Anolis sagrei: one gene and its partners. The protein of the gene in region 1 purifies or fractionates together with the protein of each later gene. This does not show direct contact. Links are inferred from orthologs where the notes say so. Each region holds a gene or a part of one and is shown in the gene's direction. Other genes may lie near its edges.

The links.
Region 2: the proteins of POLR3F (region 1) and POLR3B fractionate together in Homo sapiens (co-fractionation; 4 studies listed by BioGRID and IntAct, with this or other methods). This does not show direct contact. The link is inferred for Anolis sagrei from reciprocal best matches to the Homo sapiens genes POLR3F and POLR3B.
Region 3: the proteins of POLR3F (region 1) and POLR3GL purify together in Homo sapiens (co-immunoprecipitation; 5 studies listed by BioGRID and IntAct, counting the BioPlex papers as one, with this or other methods). This does not show direct contact. The link is inferred for Anolis sagrei from reciprocal best matches to the Homo sapiens genes POLR3F and POLR3GL.
Region 4: the proteins of POLR3F (region 1) and POLR3H purify together in Homo sapiens (affinity purification with mass spectrometry; 4 studies listed by BioGRID and IntAct, with this or other methods). This does not show direct contact. The link is inferred for Anolis sagrei from reciprocal best matches to the Homo sapiens genes POLR3F and POLR3H.

What each region holds. Positions count from the first base shown.
Region 1 is NC_090024.1:133,272,786-133,280,292, forward strand, and holds the start of POLR3F (DNA-directed RNA polymerase III subunit RPC6), read left to right. Parts: upstream 1-4,480; 5' UTR 4,481-4,560; coding exon 4,561-4,604; intron 4,605-5,735; coding exon 5,736-5,853; intron 5,854-7,507. Other genes in the region: DZANK1 (double zinc ribbon and ankyrin repeat-containing protein 1), read right to left, coding at 1,329-1,437. UniProt on the Homo sapiens protein: DNA-dependent RNA polymerase catalyzes the transcription of DNA into RNA using the four ribonucleoside triphosphates as substrates.
Region 2 is NC_090025.1:169,715,365-169,723,054, reverse strand, and holds the start of POLR3B (DNA-directed RNA polymerase III subunit RPC2), read left to right. Parts: upstream 1-4,609; 5' UTR 4,610-4,690; coding exon 4,691-4,762; intron 4,763-7,690. UniProt on the Homo sapiens protein: Catalytic core component of RNA polymerase III (Pol III), a DNA-dependent RNA polymerase which synthesizes small non-coding RNAs using the four ribonucleoside triphosphates as substrates.
Region 3 is NC_090032.1:21,351,366-21,359,001, reverse strand, and holds the start of POLR3GL (DNA-directed RNA polymerase III subunit RPC7-like), read left to right. Parts: upstream 1-4,365; 5' UTR 4,366-4,379; coding exon 4,380-4,571; intron 4,572-7,636. UniProt on the Homo sapiens protein: DNA-dependent RNA polymerase catalyzes the transcription of DNA into RNA using the four ribonucleoside triphosphates as substrates. Specific peripheric component of RNA polymerase III which synthesizes small RNAs, such as 5S rRNA and tRNAs.
Region 4 is NC_090025.1:157,994,929-158,002,869, forward strand, and holds the start of POLR3H (DNA-directed RNA polymerase III subunit RPC8), read left to right. Parts: upstream 1-4,841; 5' UTR 4,842-4,959; coding exon 4,960-5,036; intron 5,037-6,077; coding exon 6,078-6,261; intron 6,262-7,033; coding exon 7,034-7,130; intron 7,131-7,649; coding exon 7,650-7,736; intron 7,737-7,863; coding exon 7,864-7,927; intron 7,928-7,941. Other genes in the region: nuclear pore complex protein Nup205, read right to left, coding at 323-465, 2,902-2,929.

The sequences.
Region 1 (7,507 bases):
AAAACAAAAAAGTATATCACCTATAATAGAACATAAGATGGAAGCATAAGCCAGCATCTGAATCATGCAATATTCCTGTGTCCAATTTTGTGTCTTGTAACTAAGTCATAATTTCAGGAGACCCATAGAGGTGTCAGTTTGTTACAATCCACGGTTTGGGATGTGCTAGACTTTTAAACATTGCAATTTTTACCTAAACACATCTATGTACAGTATAGGTTTATGTAGTTTAAACTGTTTTAATTGAACTTGTTTTAATCATTTTATTTATTTAATATGTCAATAATTTGTTGCATTTTTATCACAATTCTCTTATTTTCAGATTACGTTGTAAACTGTTTTGCACTCCAAACCATGGAAAATTGTATGTTTTAGTTTTTACAAAAAATAAATTGATTACAAGTAACATGTTATTTGTAAATAAACTCTGCCAAGCTTTGAATATATATATATATATATATATATATACATACATACATACATACATACATACACACACACAGAGAGAGAGAGAGAGAGAGCAGGAACCTATGGTTTTGTAGTAGCTTATGGATTGGATGATCCCTTGGAAAAATTAAAGAGATTTATGTTTTGTCACAATGGTGATAGTGGAAAGTTGTGATTTATGATTTTTTTTAAAAAAAACAATGTAAATGAAATGTGATTTGATAGTAGTTTAGAAAGTTCCCATGCAATTTAAAGAACAACAACAACAGTTATCGAAGTGTATTCATTTTAATTATATTGGACCTCACAAGCGGAAAAGAAAAGAAGATTTATAGTAAAGGTAAAAATATACTAGAAGCTTTGGGTGAAAAGAAAAAAAAGCTATTGAACCCAGAGCCTAAATAGTAGAGAGAAATAAGTTCCCTTGATACTGATGGAAAGATCTCTGGATGAGGAAGTTGGGTGTCATTGACAATCTCATGCAGCATTGTCATTTGCTCATGGATTCCTCACAGGACAGATTGAAGCTAAAAAAATAAGTATACTGTCTATAAGCCCATCACATAATTAAATGCAAGTGTAACGTATACAACAATGCTAAAGCCTAATACATAAGAATGTACATGGCAGCAGAAAAAATTAAACAGAGAAAGAAAAACATAATTATAATCCATTGCAGAGATATGTAAAGGAAATGGAAGAAGACATATGAGAAAGCTGTTTTTTAAACAAATTGTTTATTGCTTCCAATAATTTTCCTGTTAGGTTGAAAGATATTTTAAAGACAAAAATGACAAGCAAAATAAAAACAAGAATTAACAAAATGAATATTAAGTTGTATATTTATCAAATATGTGAAGAGATTTATAGCATGCATGTACCTGATTTAAACTCTACAAGTGTATTTGTATCTATTTCATGTTTGGCATTTCCTGATGTCGAGATACGAAGTGGTATAACTTGAGGCACTAGGATGGAGCCAGCAGTCATTTTTTCCTACAATTGTTTTTAAAAAACCAAAAGAAAAAAAACCCATAAATAAACATAGTACAGCAAGGAAAATTTAAGTCAATAAATCCAACTGAAGGATTTATCTACATTACCCCTCTGGGAATAAGGGCCCTTCTATACTGACCATATAATGCAGTTCAAATTTGCCTCCTCAAATTGCAAATTCCAAGACCCCATACAATGTTCCCAGGGTAGTTAAAGTAGAATAATAACATAGTATAATGTCATTAGTTTTTCTACAAGCACACACTGTATATTACACACAGCTAGAATTTTGAACTGTTGGTTCTTTCTGGGCCCTTCCACACAGCCATATAACCTAGAATATCGAGGCAGAATAACCCACAATATCTGCTTTGAGCTGGAATATCTGAGTCCACACTGCCAGATACCCCAATTCAAAGCAGAAAATGTGGGATTTTATTCAGCTGTGTGGAAGGGGCCTCACTCTGCTGCTATTTCTGAACCATGTTAGCCCAGAGAAACATTCTGGAAAACTTTGTATCCTTTGGGACTGACCTAATTAAATAAAAGTTTTCTGAAGGAGTTTAAGTTCCAAAAGGCTGTCTTAAAACCAGATTGAAAGGAATGTAGGGCCCCTTTCACACAGCTGAATAAAATCTCACATTTTCTGCTTTGAACTGGAATATATGGCAGTGTGGACTCAGATAACCCAGTTCAAAGCAGATATTGTGGGATTTTTCTGCCTTGATATTCTGGGTTATATGGCTGTGTGGAAGGGCCCCATATCATTACTATTCAGGAAAACCTAAAGTTGAACTCCTATATTTTCAAGTCACTTGCCCCTAAATTGTGGCCTAACAATTATACGGTTTTTATCCATGGGTTCTCCTCCACTTCTTCAAAGCTACTGGTGTCATACAGCTTCTTTGTGCATTTTATTTTGGGAGCTATGGCATGGCATGAGTTTTTTCAACTCCAAGGAGCTTTGGGAAGCCAAGCAAGCAGCCGAAACACCTTAAAGAAGAGCTTTCCAAAGATTTAATGCTGGTGACACATCTTTTTAGACAGGTATCATTTCATAACATAGTAATTCAGTTTTACTAGCAATCAACTCCTTGTAAGAGACGTAGAAACATACATGTCATAACAAAAATGGGCATTGTTCCATTATCAGGGCAGAAACCATTAGGGGCCACGAGAGAGAGGATACTTGATTATATGGGGGGTGGACAGTGGGTTGAAGGAGTAAAGTCATCCCTCCCCTTTTCCTGTTATTCTGCCCAACCCTCCTTTATGATATGGGAAGCAGAGAGGGGAAATAATCTCCAAAAACAGGGGAAATTATTTTCGTCCTTCAACTCCTTCCCATAAAATGAAGTATCCTTCTCTCTCTAGCAGCCTCTAATAGCTTCCACCTGGATAATGGAACAGTACCAAAAATGTATGGAAATACAACGTACCTCATGAAACTTGTAATTTATATATAAGAAATATATGATTTATTGCTTATTTTATATTGACCCAGAGGTTTTCTCTTCTGTTCACATGACAAACCTAAATTCTGAAGGTGATGCATGAATGTGTCCCAACACAGTTTGGAAACAGATATTGTGAGATGATCTGCCTTGATATTCTAGGTTATATGGCTGTGTGGAAGGGCCCTCATATAACCCTGTTCAAAGCAGATATTGTGGATGATCTGTCTGGATATTCTGTGTTATAAGGCTGTGTGAAATGGCCCTCAGATAACCCAGTTCAAAGCAGATATTGTGGTATGATCTGTCTTGATATTCTGGGTTATATGGCTGTGAGGAAGAGCTCTCTGTTCAAAGCAGATATTGTGGATGATCTGCCTGGATATTCTGTGTTATAAGGCTGTGTGAAATGGTCCTCAGATAACCCAGTTCAAAGCAGATATTGTGGGTGATCTACTTTGATATTCTGGGTTATAAGGCTGTGTGAAAGAGTCCTCAGATAACCTAGTTCAAAGGAAATATGGTGGGATGATCTGCTGTGATATTCTGGGTTATATGACTGTGGGCCCTTCCACACAGCCCTCTATCCCAGAATAATAAAGCAGAAAATCCCACATTATCTGAGTGTGCTTAGATAACCCAGTCAAAGTAGATATTCTGGAATATAGGGTTGTGTGGAAGGGCCCTGGGCGAATAACTGTAGCGTAGACCTTAACTTTTGAGTTGTTCAGGCATTTTTGAGTCATACAGAATGCCTGTAGTTTGTTGCCTTGTTTCCTTCTCTCAGCTGCTATTTCTGAGCCATGTTAGCCACACACAATATATAATATTATATGTATATGTATATGTATGTGTGTGTATATATATATATTTATGACCATCGTGGCATTGAATTGTGCCAATTGTAAGCCGCCTTGAGTCGCCTCCCTTCTATGAGAAAGGCGGCATAGAAATGTTAATTTTTAATTTTTGTATGTATGTATTTTATCTTTTATAATTTAGCTGTAAATCGCCTAGAGCATTCTCGGATGGAGAGCGATTAATAAGTTATTAAATGATGATGATGATGAAATGCCACAAATAAATAAATAAATAAAAATTGTTCATAACTTAGGGTCCTTCCACACAGCCATATAACCCAAATATTAAGGCAGATAATCCACAACATCTGCTTTGAACTGGGTTATCGGAGTCCACACTGCCTTATATTGCAGTTCAAAGCAGATAATGTGGGATTTTCGAGTTGTGTGGAAGGGGCCTTAGAGACTGCCTGTATTACCATTGACGAGTTCTAACCCACTTTGACTCTGCCCCTGAGCAGCAGGCCTTGGTCTAACCTGCCTCTCATTGCTTTGCTGTGAGGACAACAAGGGCATCACCCCCTTCTTGGGAAGAAGGCTCAGCATACAGTTCCATTAAGAAAAATCCCTTTATCCTGCAAAATCCACGCCCCTCCCTTTTCCCCTCCACTTTCCACGTCAGTCTCTGATTCTCAGAACTCACCGCCTGGCTGGGAGGCAAAGCAGAGTCTGCGACTGGCTTGGTCTCCGTGGCAACCGCAGCTTTCTCTGGGCGCAGCCTGTTGACGTCATCTGAGCGCGCCGCTTGCCTGACGCCGAATCGCCCACAGTCTGCATGGTCGGAGGAAGGAGAGCTTTGAGTGATGGCGGAGTTGAAAGCCCCAGAGCCCTTGGAAATCGAAAACAGGTGGGCAGGACAAAGTGTTGAGGGCCCTTCCATGTAGCTGACTAAAATCCCACATTACCTGCGTTGAACTGGAATATATGACAGTGTGGACTCAGATAATCCAGTTCAAAGCAGATATTGTGGGATTTTCTGCCTTGATATTCTGGGTTATATGACTGCATGGAAGGGTCCTAGAATAAAGGGAAACAAGGCTAAAGAATTGGAATGTAGTGGTGATAATAAGTGTATAGTGACTACTGTAAGAGTGTTTGTGTGGAAATGTTAAGGTGCCTGTATGCCAGTGGTTCTCAACCTGTGGGTTCCCAGATGCTTTGGCCTTCAACTCCCAGAAATCCTAACAGCTGGTAAACTGGGATGTGGCTGGGATTTCTTGGAGTTGTAGGTCAAAAAACCTGGGTACCCACAGGTTGAGAACTACTGCTGTATACATTTATGCAGCACATATAATACTATGGGCCTTTCCAGACAGTCATATAATCCAGAGGATTGTAGCTGTTTAATCAGGTTCATAGAAAGAGATGCGGTACTTCAAGTAACCTTGACCACTTCCTCAGCAAATATTGCTGCAGTTATATATGTTACAGTCTTAGCTTTTCCACAATTAACACCAATGTTCAAAATAAGTACTATTATGTAGTCTTGGGCAGTATGCTAAAACTTGGGGTGATAAGAAAAGTAGGTCCTTTTCAAGCAGGCCCTATATCTCAGGATCGGATCCCAGGTTTTCTGTTTATCCCAAATTATCTGATACAGTGTTGACTCATATAATCCAGTTATAGCAGAAAACCTGGGATCAGATCCTGGGAAATAGGGCCTGTCTGGTAGAGCCTTTACGGTGAGGGATACTGGAGGTGTGAACTCCTAAGGCAAGAACTGCTTTCTTTTGTACAGAATTAACCAATAGAGACAGTCAATGTATGACAGGGGTAAGAGCAACGGGACTCTTTTCTTGATCATTGTTCTTTATATTAGTTTTTGTTGTATTTGTGTGTGCTTACTGTTTATCACCACTTTTAATAAAAGGTGGGGTTTCTGTGTTTTAAATAAAATACATTGGCTAATGCGTTTTTGAGTTTTGTGTGTGGTGATCCCTTTTTATTTTTATTTTTTTGCTATTCCTACTTTGTCTAGGATCATTGAGCTTTGCCATCAGTTTCCTCATGGCATCACAGACCAGGTGATTCAGAATGATATGCCTCACATGGAAGCTCAGCAACGAGCCATGGCCATTAACAGACTGCTCTCTATGGTAAAAAGCCTATTAAGTTTGCATGAAAGTATGTCTTCAAAAATGCTGGATAAAATATAGTGGTTTATTATACTTCCTTTTAAAGTAGCAGTTCTTCTGGGTCTGCAAACTGATAGAACAGCTGTTGGTTCTATCTTCTGTCTCTTTATCTGTCTCTTTATCAAAAGGAGCATGCCACATTACCATTAATTCTAGCACACCTAAATCTTTGGTTTTTGTTTAGGATTGTTTTTATATTATACTAGCTTGGGGACCCGGCGTTGCCCGGGTTATTAGAGAAAGTGGGTAATGGCGGTTCTGTATGCCAAGTTTGGTCTTTATTGGTCTTTGGATAATGGCAGCATTATTTTCAGGAAGTGAGTGAAGGTACTTGAAGTCCCATCATCCATGGGCCATCCTCCTACAAACAGCAGCAGGATATAGAGTGGGTCATGGGGGCTTTGTGTGCCAAGTTTGGACTTTATCAGTCATTAGATGAGGGTGGCAGTGGTGTCAGTAAGTGAGTGAAGGTATTGCAAGTCCCATCATCCAAAGTCCATCCCCTTTCAAATTGCAGCAGGATGTAGAGTGGATCATGGGGGCTCTGTGTGCCAAGTGTGGTCTTGATTGGTCATTAGAAGGGGGTTGCAGCAATCTTTGGAAGGGAGTGGAGGTACTTGAAGTCCCATCATCCATGGTCTGTCCTCCTCCAAACTGCACCAGGATGTAGAGTGGGTCATTGGAGCTCCATGTGGCAAGTTTAGTCTTGATTAGTCATTGGCGAGGGTCTCAGTGGTCTCAGGAGGTGAGCAACAGTACTGCAAGTCCCATCATCCATCTCCAAAGTTTTCCAAATAACACCAGGACGTAAAGTGGGTCATGAAAGGTCCATGTGCCAAGTTTGGTGTTGATCCGTCATTGGATGAGGTTTGCAGAGGTCTCAGAATGTGAGTGAAGATACTGGAAGTTCCATCATCCATGGTCCACCCTTCTCCAAAACTGCAGCAGGATGTAGAGTGGGTCATGGGGGCTCTGTGTGCCAACTTTGGTCTTGATTGGTCATTAGATGAGTTTTGCAGTAGTCTTGGATAGTGGAGGTACTTGAAGTCCCATCATCCATGGTCTGTCATCCTCCAAACTGCTCCAGGATGTAGAGTGGGTCATTGAAGCTCCATGTGCCAAGTTTAGTCTTGATGAGTCATTGGCGAGGGTCTCAGTGGTCTCAGGAAGTGAGTGAAGTGACTGCAAGTCCCATCATCCATTGTCAAATTCTTCCAAACCGCACCAGGATGTAGAGTGAGTTATGCAGGCTCTCTGTGTAAATTGTGGTGCTGATCCATCATCGTTGGCAGTTGTAATGGTCTTAGGAAGGGAGTGCAGGTAATGCAAGTTCCATCATCCATGGTGCATCCTCCCTCAAACTGCACCTGGATGTAGAGTGCGTCATGGAGACTCAGTGTGCCAAGTTTGGTATTTATCGGTAATTGGATGAGGGTTGCAGTGGTCTGAAGAATTGAGCAGTGGTACTGCAAGTCCCATAATCCACGGTCCATCTCGGCCAAACCACACCAGGACGTAAAGTGGGTCATGAGAGGTCTCTTTGTGAAATTTGGTCCTGATCAGTCATTGGATAAGGTTAACAGCGGTCTCAGAATGTGAGTGGTGGTACTGCAAG
Region 2 (7,690 bases), on another chromosome or scaffold:
ATTTTTAAAAAACACTATGAATGCAGGGAGATGAAGTGCAGTAAAAAAATACTTTCCAACAGTTTCTTATTACCTGAGAAGCTATGAGATGGATAGACACCTTAACTTTTTTTTTTAAAAAAAAGAGTACTACTCACAGAATCTCACAGGTGTTTTGGGCATGGTGGCAAAGGAATTATTGGCATTTTGGTCCAAAGAAGTAACTTTTCTTAGCTTTGGTTGAATTCAAGCAAAGTTGTCATAGTTGGGTCCTACTGATTTCAACAGTGATAAATTTCAAACAACTTAGTCTGAATTCAGTATGTTTTGGAAAACTTTCAGGAAGAATATTATGAGGAAGCAATAATTTTGTGATTTTATCTATGACTTGAAAAGGGCATTTTATATAGCATGGTATGTCCATTTAGCAATCTGTACATGTCCTCTAATGTTCATAATCTTTTCAATGTTCAGATTAATCAGTACAATTAATTTGTCCCTCTTGCATGTTGCGTGGTGAAATTATCCAAATATGTTTAACTCCATTCCCTTCGCCCTAGCCCTACCAGGGCTCAATGAAAGCAAGGTATTGTTATGTAACTGGCTTATTTTTGTGTTGATATCTGTATTAATTAAATTCCGTTTGACTTTTAAAGTATTTATTTATTTATTTGAAATCTTTATATTTCACCCTTCTCACCCCAAAGGGGACTCAGGGAAGTTCACAACGTATACACGGCAAGCATTCCATGCTGGAACATAAAATAACTATAAATATACACAAACACTACAAACAGTTATATCTACTTTAAAATCAGTTGCTTAAAAACCATCTCAGAACACCATGATGGCTCCAGTTAGTGGAGTGGGTTTCCTATTATTGCCCTATTGCACTGTCCCAAAGGCTTGTGAAACAGGCTGGAGAACAGCTGAAGCATTTTTTGCAGAGTCCACTGTAAACACTGTAGGTTGTTGCTAACAGATTCATGTAAATGGGTGGTATTGTTGCCAAATTTTTGTGACCCCAATATTGAGCAAAGGGGACCCTATATGTTTAAGAAGCAGTGCTCTAGAAGACCCCAAATTATGGTACCTTTTCTGTTTGAACCACCACTTAAAACTACTGCATGCTCTCTACATTTGCAGTTCTGGCTTCTTCATATTTGATTATTCAGAAATGTGATTAAAAGTGTTATTTGTAGGAAGATTTAGGTGCTCCAGTGTGACTTTAATGAATTTCCTCCATTCATGCTGGAGCAAGGGTCCAAAAAAGAAGTGGTTGTCCTCATTTCTCCTAAGATCTTGTCCATGTCCTCGGGCCAAACAAGCTGAAAAGAATCCATTAAACAAGGACAAGCAGATGCCTCATTCATATTCACGGAGACTGCATTAATACTGGTGTGTAAGTCAGAGCGGATCAGAGTGACTTTATCTGCAAAGAACCTAGCAAACTCTTAACAACAAACTGCCGATTGGTCCGGAAAGAGTTTAGAAGCCCCCTTACCATTCGAAACAGTTCTATTGGGCAAGTCTTTGTGGATGTAATGTTGGTGGCAATAAATGATTTTTCTGCCACCTTAATTGCTCTTAAATAAGCTCTAGACTCACTGCGCATGGTACGCTGCTGTAGTTTCCACTTCACTTGCAAGCCCCAACAAATGTGGGGAGCTGGTTATATTTCCTCCAAACAGGTCCAGCTTTTTTGGCACAGAAATTCAGCAATGGGAAGTGATTCACCTGTCAAATTAATTTTTCATCCCACTCTCAGTTAATTAGGAAAAAAGCAAAAAGCAGTTGCCTGCAATCATAACTAACTAAAAATCCAAAAAAATGCACAGTCACAAATGAAATCTGAGAGTCAGATTTCCCTCAAAACTGGGGAAAATATACAGGCTATTATTCCAATAAGTAATTCTGCAAATTGTTGGTAAGTGGTGTTACTGTATTATTATAATTTCCCATTTTTATCTGAGACAACATTAATAACAATATTAATAATAATGTTATTTCTTACCCGCCTCTCCTTGAGGCTAGAGGCAGGTTAAAGGTAAAGGTGTTCCCCTGACATTAAGTCTAGTTGTGTCCAACTGGGGATTGGTGCTCATCTCCATTTCTAAGCCGAAGAGCCGATGTTGTCCGTAGATACCTCCAAGGTCATGTGGCCGGCATGACTGCATTGAGCACTATTGAGGCTAACAGCAGGAGCTCATGTCCGACTCTGGGGATTGGTGCTCGAGCTGGTGTTGTCCATAGACACCTCCAATGTCATGTGGCCAGCATGACTGTATGGAGCGCCGTTAGGGCTAATAGCAGGAGCTCATGCCGCTTCCCGGATTTGAATCTGTGACCTTTTCATCAGCAAGTTCAGCAGCTCACTGTGCCACCAGGGGCTCCTAGAGGCAGGTTACAGCATAGTTAAAACACAAAAACATTGTAAACATTCTGTATATGCACATAATAAAATATATTTCTATAAAATACATATTAAAATGCACAGAACAGAGATTAAACACAAGACACGAGTTTTAAATACTTTATTATTGTTATTATATTGAGAAGACTCAAAGCGGCTTTACATAAACTACAACAAACAAAAACTACAACATACAAATATTAAAATAGAATTGAAGCAGAAAATTAAAATCCCTTAAAATAATTAAAAATTATTACAATACTTTGAACTACACATAACTGCACTGATATTCCCCAATCCAAATAATTCCAAGAACATTTCTATCCTCTGTTGCAATAATTTCTGCTTTGGGTTACTGTAAGTTTTCTGGGCTGTATGACCATGTTCCAGAAGTATTCTCTCCTGACGCTTCACCACATCTATGGCAGGCATCCTCACAGGTTGTGAGGTCTGTTGGAAACTAGGCAAGTAGGATTTATGTCTGTGACATGTCCAGGGTGGGAGAAAGAACTCTCGTCTGCTTGAGGCAAGTGGGAATGTTGCAATTACTCACCGGAGCGTCATACAGGGAGCATACCACCCCCCTGCTGTTTCAGCTCCACTGGCTGCCAATCCAGTTCCGAGCACAATTCAAAGTGCTGGTTTTGACCTACAAAACCCTTTATGGCTCCGGCCCAGCGTACCTGTCCGAACATATCTCCTTCTACGTCCCACCTCGGAGGTTAAGATCTTCTGGGGAGGCCCTGCTCTCGGCCCCACCTTTATCACAAGTGAGACTGGTGGGGATGAGGGACAGGGCCTTCTCGGTGGTGGCCCCTCGCCTGTGGAATGCACTCCCTGGGGAGATTAGGTCATCAACATTCCTCTTCTCCTTCAGAAGGAAGTTAAAAACCTGGATGTGGGACCAGGCCTTTGGGTAAGCTGGCAGTTGGACAAAATACAATGACGACCAAAGTAGGAAAGGACAATGACGATGCTAGACGGATCATGAATTTATGAATTGGCGAACATTGACCGCAAGATGATTTTATTGCTGCAACTGTATTGTTTTTTATTGTTTTAATTAGTTATAATTGTTGACGTTATATTGTAATTTTGTATATTGTATTTTGTGAGTTGTTGGGCATCGAATTGTGCCTTTTGTAAGCCGCCCTGAGTCCCCCCCTAGGGGGTTGAGAAGGGCGGGGTAGAAGCACCCCAAATAAATAAATAAATAAATAAATAAAATTAGTCACCTTGATTAGCACTGAATGGCCTTGCAGCTTCAAAACCTGGTTGCTTCCTGCCTGGGGTGAATCCTTTGTTGGGAGGCCCTGACTGTTTCTTGTCTGGAATTTCTGCTTTCTTCAAAATACTGTCAAGAAAGAAGCCCTCAGGTAGAGCAGAAGGAAACCATTCGGATAGGAAATTCTTTTAACAATATAGTTAGCTGTAAATAAGAGTTTTGGAAGCTTCAGTTAGTCCAACGTGCGGCAGCCATGATTCTAACCGGAGTGGAGCGCAGGGAGCACACAACCCCCCTGTTGCGCCAGCTCCATTGGCTGCCGATTTGCTACCGGGCTCAATTCAAGGTGTTGGCATTGGCCTATAAAGCCCTAAACGGTTCTGGCCCAAGATACCTTTCCGACCGCATCTCGGCCTATGAACCCACCAGGACTTTGAGATCTTCCGGGGAGGCCCTGCTCTCGATCCCGCCGGCTTCTCAAGCACGGTTGGCAGGGACGAGAGATAGGGCCTTCTCGGTGGTGGCTCCTCGGCTGTGGAACGTCCTTCCTACAGGCATTAGGCTGGCGCCATCTCTCATGGCATTCCGAAGAAAGTTGAAGACCTGGATGTTTGTGCAGGCGTTTGAGTAATTTAGTGCAATCTGGTAATGGAACATAGGAATGGAACAATGGACGACGAACCTGGACTACGCTTGGATGATGAGAAGATTGGGTACGGTTGTTTTTTGTAATAATTGTGCATTGTAATTGCTTATTGGTAATTTATGGATAATGTGTTAAGTCAATTGTTATATGTTGTATGGAACCACTGCTGTTTCTACTGTTTTTACTGTTTGTGAACCGCTGTGAGTCGCCTTCGGACTTGAGATACAGCGGTATATAAGCAAAGTAAATAAATAAATAAATAAATAAATAAATAAAGGCTTCTAGGAAACGTGGCGGAACCTTTTTGGACGTCCTCAGTTGCACTTCCGGTCAGGTTTCAGCGACGCACACGCATAGCTCTGTGGAAGGCGGGGACTACGCATGCGCCAACTTTCTGGCTGTTGCCGGTTGTTTTTCTCTCTCCAGCATGGACGATCTGGTGGCAGAGCTGGGAGCCTCCACTCCGGAGCAGCTGGCGGCTCCTGTAAACACGGTGGAGGTGAGTGAGAATGGCGAGAGCATCCGAAGGAAAGAAAGAAGCGGCTCTGCCCAAGGGATAGGGGTAAATGTGGCTTCCGAAGTCCACGGTGCGCATGCGCTAAGCGTCAAGGCATGCCTGGCTGCTCACTCAGCCCTAGAGTGCGCATGCGCAGTAGTAGAGCCACAACAACCTCTGGTGCTCCTTTCCTGGATGCAGCCATGCTTGAGAAATAACGCAGCTTGACACCACTTTAACTGATCATTGGATTTGTAGTTTGGTGAGGCACCAGCCCTCTTTGTCAGAAGAAATACCGTGTACAAGAAAACGTTTGTGTTTCCATAGCATGGAGACATAACAGTTAAAGTAGTGTCAAACTGCATTATAGAATCATAGAATCAAAGAGTTGGAAGAGACCTCATGGGCCATCCAGTCCAACCCCCTGCCAAGAAGCAGGAATATTGCATTCAAATCACCCCTGACAGATGGCCATCCAGCCTCTGTTTAAAAGCTTCCAAAGAAGGAGCCTCCACTACACTCCGGGGCAGAGAGTTCCACTGCTGAACGGCTCTCACTGTCAGGAAGTTCTTCCTCATGTTCAGATGGAATCTCCTCTCTTGTAGTTTGAAGCCATTGTTCCGCGTCCTAGTCTCCAGGGAAGCAGAAAACAAGCTTGCTCCCTCCTCCCTTAGTTCTACAGTATAGATGCACCACATGGCCCCTTGTCCTTTTTCGAGGAAGCCAATAGAGCAGGCATGGGAAAACTTGAGCCCTCCAGGTGTTTTGGACTTCAACTTCCAGCCTCAGGGCCCTTCATTAAGTGGCTGAAGGGGGAAATAATAATAATAAACCTTTATTTGTACCCCGCTACTATCTCCCGCAGGACTCGGTGCGGCTTACAAGAGGCCGAGCCCAAAGTACATCATTAACAAAAACACAACAGACAACAATGCAATGCAACAATAAATAAGCAAGCAATAAAACAATAACAAAAGCACAGCACTGTTAAAAACCTGTGGCAGGGCCAAATGTAATAGTTAAAATTCTAAAAATTCGGGCCTGTCCAGGTGAGGTAGAATGGATATTTTGGGAATAGAAGGGTGTGCAGACAATTCTAACTCTCTCATAAAGTGCATTAGGGACAATTGCTTGGGATTCCTTAATCTGGGAAAGCACACTGGAACATCCATGTTTTCAAGCTCTTTCTGAAGACTACCAGTGTTGGGGAGTGACTGATGTCCTTGGGGAGGGAATTCCAGATTCGTGGGGTCACCACCGAGAAGGCCCTGTCCCTCGTCCCCACCAATCGCGCTTGTGATGCTGGTGGGATCGTGAGCAGGGCCTCACCAGATGAACGAAGGGATCGTGTGGGTTCGTATACGGAAATGCGGTCACGCAGGTAGGTGGAAAGGAAAGGGCCGAGGCTGTTAGGAATTGTTGGAGTTGAAGTCCAAAACACCAGGAGGGCCCAAGTTTGCCCAGGCCTGCAATAGAGGTATTTTTATTTCCCAATAAATCAACTACACAGTGCAACTCAATATGTATATACTCAGGAGTAAATCCCACTGAGGGCCTAATCACACTAGAGAAAAAAAATCTACTTAAAATCCGTTTCCTGTAGAATTCTGGGGTTTGTAGTTTAGGGAGGGGCCTTTAACAGCCTCACTACAAACTCCAGAATTCTGCAGGAGGCAGAATTTTAAGTGGATTTTTTCTCTAACGTGATGAAGTCATAAGTTAAGTGTGACTTGTTCCTCAGATAAATGGTTCTAAGAATATAGCCACACTGCACAATTATAGCACTTTGATAGTATTTTTAACTGATATGAATGCTGTAGATTTCTGGGATTTGTGAGGTTTTTCGCTTTCTCTGCCTGAGAGCTCTGATGCCACAGTGCACATTCCAGAATTATATGTGCCACTAATTGTGGTTCTCAACCTGGGGTCCCCAGATGTTTTTGGCCTACAACTCCCAGAAATCCCAGCTAGTTTACCAGCTGTTAGGATTTCTGGGAGTTGTAGGTCAAAAACATCTGGGGACCCCAGGTTGAGAACCACTGCATGGCTTTGGGGAAAACTCAGTTCTGCTTATGGAGCCAGTACATTCAGTTAGTTTTAGTGATTGTGAATATTTCTTCAGCAAGGTAGCTGAAGGGAAACCTCGTTAGATTGCTTGAGTAAAAAGAATCTAACAGAGGGGGTTTTAGGATCGCCAGTAGTGGAAGACTGGGGATTCAGTGGTTTGATCCGGTATAGGACAAACAGTGTGAATGTTCACAATTAGGAACACTGAAATAATAAAGCACTTCACTGTAGAAGGAGTTTATAAGAATTGTAACATCTAAAGCCTGAATGTATCACAGCCAAGCCATATTGTAACCAACAAGCATGTGCCAAGTTCAACATCTCAATATTACAACAATTACGCTTTGTTAATAATAAACTTGTTCTCTTTGTTATTTTAAACCTGCCTCCTCCATTGATTTTATGTTCGGTGTATTCCACTCTACCAAAGTTACCTCACAACGCAAATAGGAGTAAATAGAGACTTTAAGACCAGCGTCTTTACATTTTATTGGTGGCAGTTTAATTTAATAGCAGTCTAGGGACTTCCTTATATTTTTGGTAATCCCATTTGGTGGGATAAAGACTTCTTCACATAATTTTGGAGACAAGCGGTGGCATTAACGCTTCCTCACATAAATATTATTAGCAATTTCAACCCATCATTATAATTCAGGCTTTTTGTTTGGGTTAAAATAGTTGCTGATTAAGTTTATTCTTATATTCCAAATAATTCTAATAATAATAACTTTATTCTTATATCCCATGCCATCTCCCCAAAGGGGCTTGGGGCGGCTTACAGATGACACAAAGTACTTAAAAACAAACATAAAAGTGAACACAATATAAAATACAATAAATTAAAACACATTTGCATATAGAAAC
Region 3 (7,636 bases), on another chromosome or scaffold:
ATTTTATTATTTTATTAAATTATTTTTTTTACATCCAATTTAATGTTACTACTAATACACTTCCCAAGATGCAAGATTTGTGTGTGTGTGTGTATGTGTGTATGTCTATATATATTGCAAGATGAAGGGAATAAACCAGGCTTTGCAATGGGAGGAAACATCCCAAAATAATATCCCAATACTCAGTTCAGTAATAATAATAATAATAATAATAATAAGGCAGGTGTGTATGTGTGTGTGTGTGTGTGTGTGTGTGTGTGTATTGCAAGAAGAAGGGAATAAATCAGGCTTTGCAATGGGAGGAAACATCCCATAATAATATCCCAATATTCAGTTCAATAATAATAATAATAATAATAATAATAATAATAAGGCAAGTGTGTATGTGTGTGTGTATGTATATATATATATATATATATATATATATATATATATATTGCAAGAAGAAGGGAATAAATCAGGTTTTGCAATGGGAGGAAACATCCCATAATAATATCCCAATACTCAGTTCAATAATAATAATAATAATAATAATAATAATAATAATAAGGCAGATGTGTATGTGTGTATGTATTTGTGTGTGTGTATATATATATTGCAAGATAAAGGGAATAAATCAGGCTTTGCAATGGGAGGAAACATCCCATAATAATAATATCCCAATACTCAGAATAATAATAATAATAATAATAATAATAATAATAATAATAAGGCAGATGTGTGTGTGTGTGTGTGTGTGTGTGTTTGTGTGTGTGTATTGCAAGATGAAGGGAATAAATCAGGCTTTGCAATGGGAGGAAACATCCCATAATAATATCCCAATATTCAGTTCAATAATAATAATAATAATAATAATAATAATAAGGCAAGTGTGTATGTGTGTGTGTATGTATATATATATATATATATATATATATATATTGCAAGAAGAAGGGAATAAATCAGGTTTTGCAATGGGAGGAAACATCCCATAATAATATCCCAATACTCAGTTCAATAATAATAATAATAATAATAATAATAATAATAATAATAATAAGGCAGATGTGTATGTGTGTATGTATTTGTGTGTGTGTATATATATATTGCAAGATAAAGGGAATAAATCAGGCTTTGCAATGGGAGGAAACATCCCATAATAATAATATCCCAATACTCAGAATAATAATAATAATAATAATAATAATAATAATAATAATAAGGCAGATGTGTGTGTGTGTGTTTGTGTGTGTGTATTGCAAGATGAAGGGAATAAATCAGGCTTTGCAATGGGAGGAAACATCCCATAATAATATCCCAATACTCAGTTCAATAATAATAATAATAATTGGGAAGTGTCCGACGTGGGATCCAATTCAACAGCCAGCAGAGTGTCTGCTGTCGACTCATCTTGTTGTGTTTCAAATAATAATAATAATAAGGCAGATGTGTATGTGTGTGTATCTAAAGCCAGCACTTTGAATTGTGCCCAGTAACACACCAGCAGCCAGTGGAGCTTGTGCAACAGAGAGGTTGTGTGTTCCCTGAGTGCTGCTCCTGGTTGTAACCTGGTTGACGCCCGTTGGCCCATTTGGAGCTTCCGAACAGTCTTCAAAGGCAGCCCCATGTAGAGCGTGTTGCAGTAGTCTAAACGGGATGTAACCAGAGTGCGGACTACTGTGGCCAAGTCAGACTACCCAAGGTACGGTTGCAAGTTTTAATTGTGCGAATGCTCTCCCAGGCACTGCCGAAACTTGGGGTTCCAGGCTCAGCGATGAGTCCAGGATCACCCCCCCCCCCCAAGTCTGTCAGTGAAATCGGGCGCACAGGAAGGCAGGAACACGATCAATCACGGCCACCTTAGGCTATAAACTACTTTATTTTTACAGCTGTATACATTAGAAGCTACTTAACAGTCAGCACATCGTAAAACTTGCTTCTCACCATCCGATCGTAACATTGTGAGCACACGAACTGCTGTTATCAGTACTAGTCCACACCTCTTTTGCGAACACACGAACTGCTGTTATCAGTACTAGTCCACACCTCTAGCTTTCCATGACGCTGCGTCCATTTGCTCTATACACTTATGACCTCTCTAGGAATGCCCTGTTCGCCCTTGCAACTGACCAGGAGGACCTCTGTCTTGTCTGGATCCAGTTTCAACTTGTTCGCTCTTATCCAGACCGTCACAGCGGCCAAGCACCAGTTCAGGACCTGGACAGCCTCCTTAGTAGCAGGTGGGAAGGAGTGACAGAATTGGACATCATCCGCATACAGATGACACCACACCCCGAAACTCCAGATGATCTCCCCCAACTTCATGTAGATGTTAAACAACATGGGAGACAGTATTGAACCCTGAGGAACCCCACAAGACAATGGTTGTGGGGTTGAACAGGTGTCCCCCAATAACACCTTCTGAGATCGACCCTCGAGGAAGGACCGGAGCCACTGAAGAACAGTCCCTCCAAGACCCATCTCCTTGAGGCGTCCCAGAAGGATACCACGATTGACGGCCGCTGAGAGGTCCAGCAGAACCAACAGGGACACACTCCCCATGTATTATTATTATTATTATTATTATTATTATTATTATTATTATTATTTTCTACCAATTCCAACGGGTGTCACAGGCGAACTCTATTATTATTATTACTGTATTACCTTCTGGCAAGGAAACTAGTCCAATGTGAGCTAGGCAAAACTACGGTGAGGTGGATCAGTAATTGGTTAAGTGGACGAACACAGAGAGTGCTCACTAATGCTTCCTCTTCATCTTGGAAAGAAGTGACAAGTGGAGTGCCGCAGGGTTCCGTCCTGGGCCCGGTCCTGCTCAGGATCTTCATTCATGACTTAGATGAAGGGCTAGAAGGCAGGATCATCAAGTTTGTAGACGACACGAAATTGGGAGGGAGAGCCAATAGTCCAGAGGACAGGAGCAGGATTCAAAACGATCTTGACAGATTAGAGAGATGAATGGCCAAAACTAACAAAATGAAGTTCAACAGCGACAAATGCAAGATACTCCACTTTGGCAGAAAAAACGAAATGCAAAGATACAGAATGGGGGACAATGAGTCCTGGCTCGAGAGCAGTACGTGTGAAAAAGATCTTGGAGTCCTCGTGGACAACAAGTTAAACATGAGCCAGGAATGTGATGTGGCGGCAAAAAAAGCCAATGGGATTTTGGCCTGCATCAATAGGAGCATAGTGTCTAGATCTAAGGAAGTAATGCTACCCCTCTATTCTGCTTTGGTTAGACCACATCTGGAATATTGTGTCCAATTCTGGGCACCACAATTCAAGAGAGATATTGACAAGCTGGAATGTGTCCAGAGAAGAGCGACTAAAATGATCAAGGGTCTGGAGAACAAGCCCTATGAGGAGCGGCTTAAGGAGCTGGGCATGTTTAGCCTGAAGAAGAGAAGGCTGAGAGGAGAGATGATGAGAGCCATGTATAAATATGTGAGAGGAAGCCACAGGGAGGAGGGAGCAAGCTTGTTTTCTGCTTCCCTGGAGACTAGGACGCAATGGAACAATGGCTTCAAACTACAAGAGAGGAGATTCCATCTGAACATGAGGAAGAACTTCCTGACTGTGAGAGCCGTTCAGCAGTGGAACTCTCTGCCCCGGAGTGTGGTGGAGGCTCCTTCTTTGGAAGCTTTTAAGCAGAGGCTGGATGGCCATCTGTCAGGGGTGATTTGAATGCAATATTCCTGCTTCTTGGCAGAATGGGGTTGGACTGGATGGCCCAGGAGGTCTCTTCCAACTCTTTGATTCTAGGATTCTATGATTAATATATTCATTATTATTAGTATTTGGGGCAGATTTTTAACATTTTATATTCAATTATTTTGGTTTTAAATATATTGTAATTATTGCAATATATTAGTATTATTAATATATAATAATATATTATTATAATATATAATAATATGTAATAATAATTATTATATATTATTATGTATTATAATAATATATTATTATAATATATTATCATATATTATCAATAATATTATATATTATCAATAGTATATTATTATGATTTGGGATACATTATTATGATCTATTATTTTATTTATTTGGATATTATTTGTTAATATATAATAATAAATTATTATGATCTATTATTAAGTATTCTAATAATATAATATATAATAATATAATATATTATTAAGTATTCTAATAATATAATATATAATAATATAATATATTATTATATATTATTAATAATATATTATTATTAATATATTATTATGATTAGGGATAGATTATTATCTATTATTTTTATTTATTTGAACAGATATTATTTGTTTATTTATAGTATATCATTTAAAAATATAAATAGGAAACAAAGTGACTTATTACAAAGAGAAACCCAGGAATCAATTCTGCGCATGCGTGGAAAGAGGCCTCTTCCCACTGCTGGCAAAGGCAGGCCGAAGCCCCGCCCACTCTTCATTCACAAGAGAAAGCCCCGGCCACGCCCCTTCCCTGGATCTCCGCTCCCATTGGCCGCCTGGAAAGAAGTCCCCGCCCATTTCGAACGTTCCCCGGGCAAGCCTCTTCAGCCGCTCCTTCCGGGTCACGTGAGTTTTCTTTTGCTGCAAAGGAAAGCAAACCGACCTTATTTTTGCATTATTATTATTATTATTATTATTGTTAAATGCATGGGAAATAAATGTTGAATTAAATAATGAAGTCTTATTTTGCAATGTTTTCCTAAATATTAAGGAGTTAAATATTTAAATTAAAGGATAAATAATATTAAATAATAAATGATAAATAATATTAAATAATAAATGATAAATAATATTAAATAATATTATATATATTAGGTTCTTGTGGGTTTTTTTCGGGCTATAGGGCCATGTCCTAGAGGCATTTCTCCTGACGTTTCGCCTGCATCTATGGCAAGCATCCTCAGAGGTGTGAGGTCTGTTGGAATTAGGACAATGGGTTTATATATCTGTGGAATGGCTGGGGTGGGGCAAGGAGCTCTTCCTTGCTAGAGCTAGGTGTGACACCGTCTACAGAAAACCCACACACACAGATAGATATCTACATCAAAACTCCAACCATCACCCAAGTCAAAAAAGAAGCACCATGAAAGCCTTGGCAGACCGTGCAAAAAGAATCTGCGAAGCCCACCTCCTCCAAGATGGACTGAACCACCTCAACTGGGCTCTCCAGGCCAATGGAGACGCCACCTCAGACATCAGAAGAGCTGCAAGACCACTGAGAAGAAGCCACGAGAGTCAAGACCAAGATCCACCCAGAGGAAAAGTGTTCCTGCCAGACATCAAGGGAACCACTGACCGCAGAGGGAAGCTGATGAGGAAACACAACATACAAACAATCTACAAACCCACCAAGAAAATCCAACAAATGCTACGTTCAGCAAAGGACAAGAGGGATCCTCTCACCTCTGCAGGAGTCTACCATTGTATCCCATGCAGCTGTGGACAAGAAGTCTCCAGAGGGACCCCCAAACGCAGCATTGCCCAGACACGCATCAAGGAACATGGAAGGCACTGCAGACTCCTTCAACCAGAGAAGTCAGCCATAGCAGAGCACCTGATGAACCAGCCTGGACACAGCAGATTATTGGAGAACACAGAAATGCTGGACCACTCTCACAACCACCATGTCAGACTACACAGAGAAGCCATTGAAATCCACAAGCATGTGGACAATTTCAACAGAAAGGAAGAGACCATGAAAATGAACAAAATCTGGCTACCAGTATTAAAAAACTCTAAAATTATAACAGCTAAACAACAGAGAGGAAAAAAACCAGGCACAGATTAACACCTCCCACCAAGAGATTTTCCCAGGCTCAGGCAGGCCTTCAAATGCTAATGAAGGTGATCAGCTAAACATTCACACCTAACTGCAGCAGGGAAGAGCTCCTTGCCCCACCCCAGCCATTCCACAGATATATATAAACCCATTTTTCCTACTTCCAACAGACCTCACTACCTCTGAGGATGCTTGCCATAGATGCAGGCGAAACGTCAGGAGAAATGCCTCTAGAACATGGCCCTATAGCCCGAAAAAAACCCACAAGAACCTAGTGATTCCAGCCATGAAAGCCTTCGACAATACATTATATATATTATATATAAATTATATTATAAAATTATATTATTCAAATATTAAAAATGCATTCAATTAAATGCATTTGCAATTGATTTTAATGCATTCTGAAATATTTGAGTAATTAAATGTTAAATTAAATAATGAAGTTTTATTTTGCAATGTTTCCTAAGTATTAAGGAGTTAAATTATTAATAATATTTAGGAAACATTGCAAAAAATATTTAATTATTCATAATATTTAGGAAATATTGCAAAAAATATTTGATTATTCATAATATTTAGGAAATATTGCAAAAAATAAGATCGGTTTGATTTGAAAGCCTTCGACAACACATTGCAAAAAATATTTGATTATTCATAATATTTAGGTAACGTGAGTTTTCTTTTTGCTGCAAAGGAAATCAAACCGACCTTATTTTTGCAATATTATTATTATTAGTTTTAAATGCATGGAATTAAATGTTAAATTAAATAATGAAGTTCTATTTTGCAATGTTTCCTAAATATTAAGGAGTTAAATGTTTAAATTAAAGGGTAAATAATATTACTTTGCTATATTACTCAAATATTAAAAATGCATTCAATGAAATGCGTTTGCAATTTCTATTATATATTAGATATATTTATCATTACATTAGTATTACATTATTATATTATTTCTTCTATTACTTATATATTACATATTATTATATATTCTATATATTTATTATATTATTGTAAATATATTATTATATTACTTATTCTATTACCTATTATTATTATTATTATTATTATATAAATTAATGCAGTCTGAATTTAATTTAAATATGTAATTTCATTATTATTATTATTATTATTATGTATATAATATTTTCACAAACCCCGATGACATCCAGACATCATGTTATTATTATTATTATTATTATTATTATGTTTATAAGGCCCCCCGGTGGCACAGTGGGTTAAACTGCTGAGCTTCTGAGCTTGTTGACCGAAAGGTCACAGGTTCGATTCCGGGGAGCGCCGTGAGCTTCCCCTGTCAGCCCTAGCTCCTGCCAACCTAGCAGTTCGAAAACATGCAGATGTGAGTAGATCAATAGGTACTGCTCTGGCGGGAAGGTAACGGCGCTCCATGTGGTCATGCTGGCCACATGACCTTGGAGGTGTCTATGGACAACGCCGGCTCCTCGGCTTAGAAATGGAGATGAGCACTAACTCCTAGAGTCAGACATGACTGGACTTAATGTCAGGGGACTACCTTTACCTTTACCTTACTATGCTAATAATATAATATATTGTATGTATATATATTTTGTAAGCCGCTCTGAGTCCTTTTCGGGGTGAGAAGGGTGGTATATAAGTACTGTAAATAAATAAATAAAATAAGTCAGAGCATGATCCAGGGTGACTCCTAGATATTTGGGTGTGCTGCAATGCTCCAGTGGGATTCCTTTCCAGGCCATCCTCAGAGCTCGAGATGCTTGTCTATTCTTACGGTGAAATGAACCTATCTGCGTTTTAGATGGAATAGGGATCTGGTTTTCACTGGAATAGGCCAGCAAGGCCACCTAAA
Region 4 (7,941 bases), on another chromosome or scaffold:
AGGATGACTCCTATCCCAGTTCTAGATTATTTCCCTCTTTTCTAGCAACAGCAGGCCTCTTAGAATACACGTTTAATTTTAAAATCTATCAGTCAAATCAATTTAATTATAATAGTTGAGAAACTTCTTATAATACAATCTGAAATATTCAAGTTAGAATAAAGAAGAAACAGTTTCACTACGTTATTAAAAATTCAGTTAGAAAAACCTATCCTTCATTATTTTAATACATATAAACATAATAAATATAGTTATAAAAATCACACAATGCCAGCAACACTATTTTATCCCATTACCGGGAGAAGAAAAGTTTGCTTTTTACCGGATTTCTGAAGAGTGATATAAAATCAGGTTTATGCTTCTTTAAAATCTGGTCAAGAATATGTATTGCTTCAGGTTGCCTTTTCCAAATGGCATTAACAACTGCTTGCCAAATGTCTTTGTAGGGTCCCCATAAACTGGCAGCTAAAAGCAAAATAGACAAAGCAAGAAAAAAGCAAGATATTTACCACAAGTGAATATTATGATTAAACATTATTCATGTGCAAAAATATTTTACAGAAAAATATTTAAGATAAATTAATTAATTTTTTACAAAAGCAGCAATCAGCTTAGTGAACAGAGACAGGAAAGCAAAAGAAAAGTCCCTATGTGGGTAATCATTTATTTGATAACATAGAATCATAGAGTTGAAAGAGTCTTTGTGGGCCATCCAATCCAACTCCCTCCCAAGAAGTAGAAAAACTGCATTTATTTACAATATTTATATGCTGCCCTTCTCACCTTGAAGGGGACTCAGAGCAGCTTACAATATGTAAATACAATATATTATATTATTACCATAGCACAATATTAATATTATATATTACTATATTGTACTATAACATTATACTGTAATATTATTCGTAGTACTATATTGTATTACATTATAATAGTATCAATATTATATGTATATACAATATATTATATTATATTATATTATATTATATTATATTATATTATAAGCACAGTGCAGGAGACAAGATGGAAATGCCTTCCTGGCCCCTCTCTTCACTCTGATCTCAGAGCAGCAGTTGGTGCTGGGGGGGAGCTCACATTCAAAGCACACACACACACATTCAAAGCAAGCCCACCAGTATAAATAAGTTGTAAACTACAAAAAATGCATGCCACAAAATATTTGTTGGTTTTCCACCAAATGGGAGAATACTAAGGCGCATATTTACATCTCAGGAAGATTTCACCTGAACATTAGGAAGAACCTCCTGACCATAAGTTTAAAGTCTTATAGTTATATGATTGATAGCTATAAGTTGTAAGTAATTATGTTTGTTAGATTTTATTTATTGTGATTTGTTTGTTTAATTTTCTGCTTGTGTGACTGTTATCTTGTATTCTGTGTTGTAAGCTGCCCCAAATCCCTTTGGAACGAGGGGGAGGGATATAAACAAAGCATTATTATTGTGATTATTATTATTAGAGCTGTTCAACAATGGAACTCTCGGCCTCAGAGTGCGATGGAAGCTTCTTCCTTGGAGACTTTTAAACAGAGGCTGGATGGGTTGCTGTAAGTTTTCCAGGCTATATGGCCATGTTCCAGACGCATTCTTTCCTGATGTTTAACCCACATCTATGGCAGGCACCCTCAGAGATTGTGAGGTCTGTTGGAAACTAGGCAAGTGCGGTTTATATATCTGTAGAATGTTCAGAGTGGGAGAAAGAACTCTTGTCTGCTTGAGGCAAATGGGAATGTTACAACTGATTGCCTTGATTAGCAATGAATAGCCTTGCAGCTTTAAAGCTTGGCTACTTCCTGAATGAGGAAATCCTTTCTTAGGAGGTGATTAGTTGGCCCTGATTATTTCTTGTCTGGAATTTCCCTGTTTTTGAGTGTTGTTCTTTATTTGCTTCCCTGCTTTTAGTTTTTTAATAGTGTTCGCCTGACATTGCTCATTTTCATAGTTTCCTCCTTTCTGTTGAAATTGTCCACCTGATTGTGGTGGTTGGGATGCTTTGTTTGTGCATGACAGAATGGGGTTTGCCTGGATGGCCAATGCGGTCTAGTCCAACTCTTATGATTCTATGAAAACACATTCATGCAGCATTTTGTTTTTTCTTTAAGTGGCTGCCAGAACCTATTCCTTTTTTTAAAAAAAAATATTTATTGTAGTTTTACATATTCAGTGTTTAAACATTCTTATACTTATCACTTCCCCTTAACAAATTGTATACAGAAACCTATTCCTACTCTTCCCTGCCTCTGGTATCAAAGTTGCTGCTAAAGAAGTAAGCTTAGGAATGTATTGCCTGTCCTTAGAAAACTATCATTCTATTATCTTACAATTCTATTTTATTAATACCACTATTCCTCCGTGCTTCTCTCTGAATCGAGGAGACCCAGAGTGGTTATACCAGGCGTGGGCAAACTTGACCCCTCCTTCCAGGTGTTTTGGACTTCAACTCCCACAATCCCTAACAGCCTCAGGACCTTTCCATTCCCCCCTAAGCCACTGATTCTCAGCCTGTGGGTCCCCAGTTGTTTTGGCCTACAACCCAGGAATCCCAGCCAGTTTACCAGCTGTTAGGATTTCTGGGAGTTGAAGGCCAAAACATCTGGTGACCCACAGGTTGAGAACCACTGCCTAAGGCTGTTAAGGATTGTGGGAGTTTCCAAAAGTTTGCCCCTGCCTGATCTACACTGTTATGTAACTGCACTGGGTTATACTCATGTACTTAGGAGCAAGCCCCATAGAACTTGGCTGCTGTGGGTCTCAGGCAGTCCTCCACGTTCCCTTCCACGGCAAAGAGTGGCGCAGGGCCCAAAGACAGGGCAAGGCAACCCCAAAACGATGCCGCCCCGTCCCCGAATGAGCCTCAGGCCAAACTCGGGGCTCTTCTCACCTGAAATTACCGCCAGCGGCGCCGACATCTTGGAAACTCGCGAAGGGGCTTCAAGGCGCCCTCGCTTCTCAGGGGCCTAGAGCAGGTAGAGGTGCCCGCGATCTGCCGGATCAGGAAAAAATCCTCTCTTCATAGACAACTCGGCTAATAAATGGCAAATGCATATTATCAGCGTTTTCCATTATTTTAGCCACATGTAGGAGGGTAGTGCTTTAGTCCATTACGACAAAAGCGCTCAAATTGCACGACCGGAACGCAGGCACGATTTAGACGCCTAAGATCGAAACATGGAAAGAACTTTGGGGTTTGTAGTTCTAGGCCCAGCGGGAGAAAAAAGGGCGGGAAAGTCGAAATAGAAACCCTTTTTTTGCGGAAGAGGAAGCTTCTTGAATCTATCTTGGCAAGGAAACCCGTGATAGGGTTGCCACAGGTTGGAAACTGCTTCAGGGTACACAACAACAAGGCCTTGTTGAACAGAATGGATTGATGTCATGTCCAAAGCTTTCATGGCCGGAATCACTGTGTTGTTGTGAGTTTTCCGGGCTGCATGGCCATGTTCCAGAAGCATTCTTTTTTGACGTTTTGCCCACATCTATGACAGGCATCCTCAGAGGTTGTGAGTTCTGTTGGAAACTGGACAAGTGGGGTTTATATTCTGTGGAATGTCCAGAACTCTTGTCTGCTTGAGGCAAGTGTGAATGTTGCAATTGGCGACCTTCATTAGCATTGAATGGCCTTGCAGCTTCAAAGCCCGGTTGGTTGCTGCCTGCAGGAATACTTTGTTTGAAAGTGTTAGCTGGTTTAACTTTTCTGAGTATTCTGCGGATATTCAAGTCCTCTTATATACAGTGGCGTAGAAAATTGACATCCTTTATATAAAACATCCTAAGTGGTTCTCAACCTGGGGTCCCCAGATTATTTTGGCCTACAACTCCCAGAAATCCTAACAGCTGGTAAACTGGCTGGGATTTCTGGGAGTTGTAGGCCAAAAACATCTGGGGACCCCAGGTTGAGAACCACTTGTAATGTTCGTTTGTGGGATTAACATAACTCAAAAACCACTGGACATATTGACACCAAACTTGGCCACAAGACACCTACTAACCCAAGGAGTGACCATCACTCAAAAATTTTGATTTAGTCATTTGGGAATTGTAGTTGCTAGGATTTATAGTTCACATACAATCAAAGAGCATTCTGAACTCCACCAACGATGGAACTGAACCAAACGTGGCACACAGACCTCCCATGACCAACAGAAAACACTTGAAGAGTTTGGTGGACATTGACTTTGAGTTTGGGAGTTGCAGTTCACTTACATCCAGAGAGCACTGTGGACTCAAAAAATGATGGATCTGGACCAAATTTCGCAGGAATACTCAATATGCCCAAATATGAACACAGATGGAGTTTGTGCAAAATAGACCTTGACATTTGGGAGTTTTAGTTACTGGGATTTATAGTTCACCTACAATCAAAGAGCATTCTGAACTCCACCAATGAGGGAATTGAACCAAACTTGGCACACAGAACTCCCACTGCCAACAGAAAATACTTAAGGCCATCCAGTCCAACTCTCTTCACCAGGGCAAGAAAACGTAAACAAAGTCCTTTTGACAAAGAGCCACCCAGTCATATGATTCACGCGCATAGTATAGATTTGAAAGGGACCCCTAAAGAAGGACAATTATATGTTGCATGTTCCAGAGTAGGCAAATCAGACAATCTCCACATCAACACTGACAAAGAAACAGCAAGAAATACTGTTTACTAACAAGCATAAAGAAATTACATATATTAGAAATCAACACTTTCTCATTACTTTATTGTCCAGATCACCATGCTGGGCCACAGCAACGCCTGGCAGGGGACGGCTGGTATAAAATAAATGTGTACTTTTCGGATTTAAAAAAATATGGTCAGGCCATGAAGGCTTGGGTAAAGGATCTGTGAACACAGGAGGGTGACTTGTTCCCAGCGCTCCAAACTACAGCTCCCACCATGCACAGCGTTTTCCAGTGTTCTACTTCCTCTTCGTAGCCTTGCTGTTTGCCGCGCATGCGTGGTGCGGTAACCCGAACGGATGTTTATCGCCTGCTGGAGAAGGAGAGGGTCGCGTGGCGAAGCGGTTGTGGGTGAGTTAGATGCATTTCTGATTTCCAGGGATATAATCGAAAACAACGGAGAGGTGCTCTAGGAAAGATATGCTTCCATCTTTGGAGGGTCTTCTGTTCTGTTGGGGATGCTGACTGCTTGTGTGGATAGAAAGCCACTGCTGGCTTCAATAAACTACCTCAAAGCAGGCCTTTGCAAGTTGTAACTGATGGTAGAACAGGTATAACACACTTAAGCGGCTGAGAGGGAAAAGGAAGGGGCCTGAGGCTGTTAGGAATTGTGGGAGTTGAAGTCCAAAACAGCTGGAGGGCCCAAGTTGGCCCATGCATGTGGTAGAACAGTGGTTCTTAACCTGTGGGTCCCCAGATGTTTTGGTCTTCAACTCCCAGAAAGCCTAACAGCTAGTAAACTGGTTAAGATTTGTGGGAGTTTTAGGCCAAAACACCTGGAGACCCACAGGTTGAGAACCACTGTGGTAGAAGATCCCTTCTGTATGTCCTTTCTGTGGTTCTGGGCCTCAAACTACTTCCAGTTGCAAATTCCCTTCTAATGTAACCAGTAAGAGAAGAAGCCAAAACTAGGAGAGGCTTCTTCTCCAATGCAGAGCCAACCTAAAGAAATGGGACTACAAAGTGGAATCCACAACATGCGAGTGTGGAGAAGAGCAAACCACAGACAAACCTATTACAATTCAGCCTGAGCCCTGCCACATGCACAATGCAGCAACACCAGGGGCACTCCAAGTGGCCAGATACTGGTCAAAGGACATTTAATCAACTACCAAGCTTGCAAACTTCGTGTTTTGTTAAAAAATGCAATGCAACTGTTTGGTTTGCCCCTGATACGATAAATAAATAATACCTAGTACAACATTCAGTGTTCCTCACAATTGTAGTTGCAGCCTGACAACATTTTGAGGAGTCACACAATTCCTACCAATGATTTAAGCCTCCTTCCACCAGTATAAAATCGAAGGATAAGCTGATCTTATATTTTGCTCAAGTGTTGGCGTTTTCTTCCCTTAGACCACAATTAGAACTTGCCACTTTCTTCTCCAACAGCTATCACTACAGAAAGGAGAGTCCTCTTGCTGATTTTCCCTTCTCCCCAGGAGCATTGTTTTTGCAAGTTATCATGTTTGTGTTAGTGGAGATGACAGATACTGTGCGAATCCCTCCATGGCAGTTTGAAAGGAAGCTTAATGATGCCATCACTGAAGAGTTAAATAAGAAACTGGCCAATAAGGTAAACTTTGCATGGTTTGTCTCACTACTATACTGTCACACAGATTCTAAAGACAGTAAACTTTGGGTGTATACAAATAATATGTGTATTTATTTGCTTAATCTGTTTTAATTGTTTATTTGTTGGAATACGTTTTTATGACTGTGTCTATATGGCATTGAATTTTGCCAGAGCTGTAGGCCACCATGAGTTCCCCAAAGGGGTGAGAAAGGCAGTGAACAAATAAAGATTATTATTATTATTATTATTATTATTATTATTTACTGCTCCATCTTACATATGTCAAAGGCAGATTATTCCCAGTTAAGCGAATGAAGGATTGTGGACAAATGTCGTGTGGACAGTCATGGTGCTGTCTCATATATTTAATGAATGTAGCTGCAATGCTAAAATTATACACTGTAAAGTCGCTGATTTTGATCAATATAAATTTAGTATCTTTTCACTAGTTACATTTAATATGTAAATGAGCTCCCACATGACATGAAATAGAAGAGTGAAGAGATGTTGAAAATAATGAGAAATTGATAAGGAGACTGGCTACTCAGAAGTATGAACCTTCATTTCCCCCTTAACCACCCCCTCTGTTATCATTCTTTCTTGTTCTTGTAGCGTTACTTGCATATTTGAATTATTTTTATCTATCCAGTTATAGATCCGTTCACCAGTTTGGTTTGTTGGTACAGTATTCCTTGTTCTGTTTCAAGGGGGCTAACACATCTCTTCCAAAGTATTCAACTTCATTGATTTTTGGATTTATTTCTCTAAACAGGTTGTGTATAATGTTGGCCTCTGTATTTGTCTCTATGACATTACAAAGCTGGAGGACTCCTACATATTCCCAGGAGATGGTGCATCACACACAAAAGGTTTGCCTGTTGTTTTCCATGTCAATTATTTTTGGATCTGACAACTATGGATCTTCAAGACTACCCTCTAGGCAACATAATAATTTCTGGGTAACCACAGCACTCCATATTTTTTTATTATAACTCTGTTGTGCTGATACATAATACAGCTGGAAAGCACATTTTTGTGGCATACGAAACTGAAAAAATTATGTTCATTCTCCTTCATCCTTGGTACCATTTTTGCTTAGGACAGGTTAAGGTACCATTTCTGCCATGCTGTATACATTTTCTCATTTAATGCTAGCATTCTCACACTTATACACTTGTTCCATATTCTATCTTGATGTTCAATCTGTTAACAAACTGGCTTATGCTCATTTGCCTTGCAAGTACAGCTGTAATTATTTATTAGCTGCATTTATACCATGCTTTTTCTCGTGCTATACAATGTTGCTATGCTAATTTTGTGCACATGTATGTTTTGACAACATACAAGTGAAACATTTATCTAAGGAAAATCTGCTTCCTTCTTTATAGTGCATTTTCGGTATGTGGTGTTTCATCCCTTTCTTGATGAGATTTTGGTTGGAGAGATAAAAGGCTGCAGTCTAGAAGGAGTTCATGGTAAATTTTAATTTTTATTAAAATTCTAGACCTGTATTCAGATATATCTGTGGGGGGCCTGAAGAGAGAATTAACATCATGTTATACCCTAATGGCTTCTGTGTTAATCTGAATGTTCTTCTTGCAGTTTCCCTTGGGTTCTTTGATGATATCATCATTCCTCCAGAATCTCTGCAGCAGCCTGCCAAATTGTATCCTCCATGAT